Linked DNA regions of Nothobranchius furzeri. The protein of the gene in region 2 interacts with the protein of the main gene of each other region in a biochemical or structural test. Links are inferred from orthologs where the notes say so. Each region holds a gene or a part of one and is shown on either strand. Other genes may lie near its edges.

Region 1 (2,912 bases), on a different chromosome or scaffold from region 2:
GAAAATGCAACAAAGTCCGTCCCTTTGTCTTTAGTCTTCTTCTGACTGAATCTGTGGGCCAACAGTCACAAAGTACAGTTTCTCATTTACAGAAATCAAAAATCAGATCAGATGTTCATCTGATTTAGGCCAACACCCTTTTTCTATTTACTCATATAAGAGCCACACCTTCACTAACCTTCTTGTGTTGAATCACCTCCAACTGTGATTAACTCACAACCATACGGTGTCTGTTGTCACACCCAGAGAACATCCTCAATGACGGAAACACCGCAGAATTGTTTGACATCATGTATTTCTTATAAAGAAACTTACAAATGAGACGTGCAAAGTTATTATTAAGCTCGTAAAACTATTTTTTACACAATGCTATAAAACGTAGCTACCCCTAAAGCTAATTGTAAAACCTATGTGGACAACAACTGCAGTGAAACATTTGTGATAACTAGTTTTGAGTAACAGAACAAAAATGCAAACTTTTCATTATAATTATGCGTTTTCCTTACAGATTCATTGTTGATCATGTATAAAGCTGGCTGACTAAACCACAGCACTAGTAAAATATTTAGACAGAAACTTTGTTTTTCTAAATTAATTCATAGTCATCTTCTCACCTGTACACAGTAATAAAAACATATTTTACTCTTATTAACCACGTCATCGGTCTGCAACTTCCTCCAACTTTATTGTTTGTTTCATTAAAAATCTATAAAATCAAGAATGATGTTCCCATGCAGAGGATACAATCCTATCAAGGGTTGACAATTAGACTGATGCTGGCAATCAGGCAGCGAATGCTCTAATTACTATTTTAAAAATATCTTCTTTCAGTTCCTTTTTTGAAACAGAACCAATAAGCCAGTTAACCCAGTCAAACCAGATAACCTGACAAACTGTTTATTTTACTTTATACATGTATTTCCTCATTTTACCCAGAATACTCACAGCTCATCTTTGCTTTTTTCAAAGCCCCTCTCTAGTCCAGTTGTCATGGTAACAACATCATAACAACGATCCGTCCTGCATTCGGGTGAGTGGCCCACAGGGATGCAGTCATAGCCTTTACTGGCTGAGCTCATACGTTTCCTGTTGCGTGCTCCCGGCTGATACAGCTGCATGGCTGGACGGTCCTGCAAGGAAGAGAAGAGGGCAGAGATGAAACAAAGGGCATAGTTTAGATCTAAAGGCTCCACTTGGGATTGAAATCCAGATGTTTGACTACATACTTAAAGACACACAGCTGTTAAAAGTTACAATGTGTATTTTTACACATTTTTAGTGACCTAAAAACACATGTGCCACACAACAAATTCTATTATAAATTAGTAATAGAAGAAAAAAACTATGAAAAAATGTACAAAGATTATGTTAAGAACACACAGGTGAGAGTGATGGTATAATAGGATTTCAGTTATGAATAAATATACTTTTAACATTTTGTTTTTCTTGTTTAAACAGCCCATCATCATCTCCACCACACCATTCAGTGAAAGTGTGAGTGTGTGGGTGGAGGTTGTGTATGTCACAACACTAAGTGACTGACATATTTTGTTTGTAGTAAAAAAATAAATAAATAAACCTTCCGAAGCATAGTTACATGTCTGCATCATGGGATACATCAGTGACCAGCTTCCTTTTAATCTCATGCTCACCTTCTCGCTCACCTTGTTTCGGAGGCGTTCCTTCCTGTTACTCAGCTCCTCCCTGTCCTCCTTTCCCATTTTTTCTCCACTGTCAGGACAGTAGGAGTAACCGTGGTGATGGCCCTCTTTCTTGGCCCGGTCCTGGCAGTAGCCTTTCCCCCACTTGGTCTCATCTTTCCGGCGCATGAACTTATCAAACTCATAGTGGTGTCGTTGTCGTTTTCTTTCTTCATCTTTTCCTCTGTGGTCTTTGTCTCGCTGCCTGCGCCCGTGTTGCTGCTGCTCTCTCTGCTCCTTGTCGCTTTCAGGCTGACCTCTAGTGGTTACATAAAGTAGAGCATGCACTACTGAAGATAATGAATTGTTTTTCATAAAGGTACAACCACAATAATGAAATTTCCGGCTACTTAAAAAAAACGTTTACATTTTTTTCCCTTAAATGTCAAAATGAATTTCACTGTTAAATAATTTTAACTGCAGGCAATAAAGAAATATTTAATTTTCCAACAAAAGTGTCTTTTGGATGAAGAACATTGCTAAAAATTTACATTCCATATACTTTTAAATGTCAACAACCTAGAAATAAACTAATTAGAACATTTACATTTGGATTATTTTGTTGATATAATAAAAAAGAAAACAATGGCAGAAATTTCTACATGTTTTCAATGCATGTACATTGAATCATTTAGCAGGTCTTACTTCTCTTTGGGATCTTTTGACTTCATTTGTCCCACAGATTTCTCCCAATTACCCCTGTCTCCATCACCAGTATCACTTTTCTCCTTCGTTCTGTCTGAATCAATATCATCATCTCTGTCGCTTTTCTTCAGGAGCTAAATATCCCACCCCAAAAAAAAAAAAAGGAAAATTACGTTCTATTTGTGTGCAGCTGCACCATTCACACATGATAACCACATTAACAGCACTGAAAAGGAGAAGTGATACCTTAATTTTGATGTCCTTTTCTGACAGTTTCTTCTGCTTCTCTGCCTCTTTTCGCTTGCGCCTCTCTTCCTCTCGCCGCTTTCGCTTTTCTTCCTCTCGCTGCCTTTTCTTTTCGAGTTCCCTCCTTCTCCTTTCCTCTCTCTTCTCCTCTCTGATTCTCTGTTAAATGTGTGAAACATCAAAAATGAGTTTATTTTTCATGGTTTACATTTAATTGAATTTTCCTCCAACTGTTTTATTTCTTACCTGTTTTTCAATTTTCTTATTTTTGATGTATTCCAGCAGAGGTGTTGTCCTTTTGGCTGAAAGCAAACCAAGAAA
Region 2 (3,825 bases):
AAAGACAGTAAGCAGGAGGTTAGCCTGGCCCAGTTTATAAAGCCCAAATCCTCCAAATGTGCAGAAATTAAACTTATTCATGATTCATAGTTAAAACTTTCAGATTCTCTCAGTGAAGTTTCCTGTGACAGGATTCCTGAAGCGGAAAAACAGAAACACCGTTTAAGCAGAAGCTGAATGATGGTTCTGTGGGACCAGTACCCCCCCCCCACACACACACACAGACGTTCTGTGTTCTCCACGTCTCCGACACCGGCTGATGTTTGGACTCTTTTAAAACTCAGGAGTTCTGGCAGCAGACCGGACACACCCTTCAGCACAGAAGCCGGTCTCTCCCCTCAAACCACACACTCCACCACACGGCCTCGCTGACTTTTACTGTAGATCCGAGGGTGTTATCCCCTCGTGTGTAGCTGGAATGAGGAGGGAACACCATCCGGCCTCTCCATTTTCACTCATTTACCATCATCTTCCCAAAAAATATCCTTAAAGAGCACCAAAGCAGCTGTGTCACTCAGCCTTGTGTGTGTGTGTGTGTGTGTGTGGGGGGGGGGGGGGGGGGGGATCATTATTTCCCATTTTTAGACGGATCCAAGTATCCAGATTTAAATCTTTAAAACATTAATATAATTCTTAAAGGTGGGCTCTGTGATCTTTACTGTTCTTCACCTGCTGATGTCAGCAAATAAATTAAATGATTTATCAAAAAAATGAAACGTACAATCCTGGAAAAACCTCATCCAATCACGGTGAACGTCCCTTTCTTAATGACTGGATCATGATTCAGAGTACAAGTGTGTGTGTGAATGGGTGAATGACTGTATACAAATACAGACCATTTACCATGACTCATCCATCAAACTGCTCCTCTGACCGCCCCTCCCCCATCTGCTCACAGCCGCTGAACAGGAAGCGAAGCCAGAGCCAGGCTAGCTAGATTAGCTAGCATGCTAGGTCGTTTTACTGTAATGCACATACATACATGCGTAGACGCCTCGTGGACTAGCGCTGCCTAGTGGAGCTGCTGCCCACCATTTTAAATTGGTCTCTTTTGGCCCCCCAGTGCATTCATTTCTACTGAGGGAGGTGCTTACCCAACTAAAAAACACATTTTAATAAGCTTTTTATGAGGTTTGGTGTGATAATAAAAACATAAATATAATTAAACTAAATAAATATAAATAAATGTAAATATAAAATCCCATCAAGTAGGCTAGAAAAGCCACTAGTAATCCCCTGGTTGTTCTAACTGTAGGTCGTCTCTACATCTCAGAACCAGAACTGGGTCGACTCTGCAGACGATCGTCTTACAAACCCAGAATCTGGTTTTAGCTCCACGACTCCCAGCTGTCTAGTCTGGCGGTTGATCCATTCTGAGCTGAGACATGTCCTGGTTGGTTCAGCAACTTTGGTCCCAGACTAATCGCCTGATTAAACCAGCAGAACCCAGCCGGTGTGCGTCGTGTGTATGGTTAAACTGCTCTCACCTGCTGCTTGTTGCCTTTGCGAGTTAGCATGACGAACTGCATGGTGTCAGAGATGTCAGGCTCCGCCTCCCCCATGCATGGGTGTGAGGACCCCCCCTTCTTCAACTGACTCTTCAGCTGCAGGGGGATGGCCACGTCCAGCTGGTGCACCTTCACCGCCTCGCCGCTGCGCTGCTGCGGACACGAAACACACCAATCAGAAGAGGGTTTCAGCTTCTCGTGTCTAAGAGTGACCGACTTTCCTGCGTTGTGTAAAAACGCTTCCGACTCTGTGACAGAAAAATTTATTTACAAAAGAAACAAACTATTTAGCACAATCATGTCTTCTGAAGTTAAAAACAAGATGTGGTACCTGCAGGTTCTCCAGCATCATCTTATCCAGAGCCTGAATGAAGTCTTCGTCCTCGGGACACTCCACGAGTTTCAGTCCACCCCCCCGGATGGTGACCTCCTGCGGGAGAACAGAGATTAGAACCAGGATGAGGAACTCTGGAATATCTGGGATCAGATCTTACGTTGTTCTCCTCATCCGTCTCATTTTCTTTATTAGAGTCAGTCAGGTAGTCGGTGTTCTCCTCTTCCTCCTCCTCCCGCTCTTCCTCCTCATTCTCCGATCCATCCTGTGAATTGTGCAAAGAGCTATTTTAGTAACTCGGGCTTGCTAACAGATGCATCATTAGCTTCATTATGCTAACAGGCGCTAGCAATGCTAACATTCCGCTGTCGGTAACAAACACGAGAAGAACATTTCTAGCTTTCCTTATCTTTACTTTATTTTAAGAACATACACCATAATCGGACAGGAAGTGACCAGGCTCAGGGGGTGTCACCTCTAAATCGGTCCGAGTAGAAACTCAGTGTTTCCCTTACATAGGCGTAGCCGTGGCGGGCCACCACGGCTGAAATCCCACCGCCACGCCTACAAGATCCCGTTTAATAGATTAAAAAAAAATGTTTTTTGCGCTGTTTCCCAAAGAAGCAGCGGGAACTACTCTGTTGTTGCTTGTGATCACAGCCAGCTGGTAGCAAGGAGGAGGAGGCAGGGCAGGGTGGTTACAGCTAGGGATGAGCCGGATACTCGTTCCAGACCAATATCCGGTACGGATAAAGCATTTTTGACGAATACGAGCATGAAATGAGTAAAACTCGTAAATATCTGAAATCGTGCTGAAGAAAAATTCTCATTGGGTAACTGGCTGCCTTCACGCTCTGTGATTGGCCAGTCACATGGAGCGCCCGCCCCTCCCTACACACAAAACTCTGCAGCAGTCCCAAGGAATGGGAAGACCGTATCAAAGAGGCAAACGAGGAAGCCCAGTTTGGCCCACGCACGCACGCACACACACACACACACACACACACACACACACACACACACACACAGAGACAGTAACGGATCTCTCTGTGCTTGCTACACTGTTGCTCACGTTTCTTCAGAACTCTAGGTTTTCTTCAGTTCGCCTCTTTTTCGGTTGAATATTTAAATTTACTTTTTTCGTAACGTACGTGGTGCATTTGACAAGACAGAGCGGAAAACGGCTCATGCTGCGTCGGTCACTGCCTCCGCTCCGGTCGTTTTTTTTTTTATTATTCTCTCTCTCTCTCTCCCACACCCACACCCACACCCACCCACCCACCCACCCACCCACAACACACACACACACACACACACACACACACACACACACACACACACACACACACACACACACACACACACACACACACACACACACACACACACACACACACACACACACACACACACACACGTTGGAACAAAATGTGGGTAAAAAAATTAAATTAAACCCATCAAAACACTTCCTGCTACATGATTTGAATAAAATATGCTTTTATTTTTCTAGTACTTCCTGCTTATCAGCTACTGATGACTCAGGTGCAAAGAAACCAAGTGAAGGGAAGGCCTGTTTAATAAAAGTCTGCCAAAATACACACACACACACACACACACACACACACACACACACACACACACACACACACCCTCTCATTTCTCTGACATGTGGGGAAACAGTTTTAACCTTTAGTTTTCTTTACTTTTCTGTCAGAAAACTAATAAATCAGTCTGACTGTCAGCTTTTCCAGAAGAAACCTGAAGCCTAAACACGAATGATTCTGTTTCTCTGCTGCATGAACTCATGACAAACATCCAACACACCAGTCTCACTGAGTGAACGCCCCAGCAGGTTCACACCGAGGTCAGAATTTACAGGCGTGAGGTTAAAGGTCAGGAAAAGAGGAATCACGTAGGATTTTTTTGGAAAACAAATCTCAAGAGCTAACCTCTTGCTTGTAAAGTTTTATCCGAACAAACCAC

The links.
Region 1: the proteins of upf2 (region 2) and upf3a form a complex in vitro, tested with the Homo sapiens proteins (2 studies listed by IntAct, with this or other methods). The link is inferred for Nothobranchius furzeri from reciprocal best matches to the Homo sapiens genes UPF2 and UPF3A.

Annotation. Positions count from the first base shown.
Region 1 is NC_091754.1:29,406,805-29,409,716, reverse strand, and holds the end of upf3a (regulator of nonsense transcripts 3A), read right to left. Parts: intron 2,894-2,912; coding exon 2,838-2,893; intron 2,751-2,837; coding exon 2,592-2,750; intron 2,480-2,591; coding exon 2,346-2,479; intron 1,960-2,345; coding exon 1,653-1,959; intron 1,131-1,652; coding exon 942-1,130; 3' UTR 764-941; downstream 1-763. UniProt on the Homo sapiens protein: Involved in nonsense-mediated decay (NMD) of mRNAs containing premature stop codons by associating with the nuclear exon junction complex (EJC) and serving as link between the EJC core and NMD machinery.
Region 2 is NC_091741.1:38,128,933-38,132,757, reverse strand, and holds part of upf2 (regulator of nonsense transcripts 2), read right to left. Parts: intron 2,108-3,825; coding exon 2,003-2,107; intron 1,939-2,002; coding exon 1,840-1,938; intron 1,662-1,839; coding exon 1,488-1,661; intron 1-1,487. UniProt on the Homo sapiens protein: Involved in nonsense-mediated decay (NMD) of mRNAs containing premature stop codons by associating with the nuclear exon junction complex (EJC).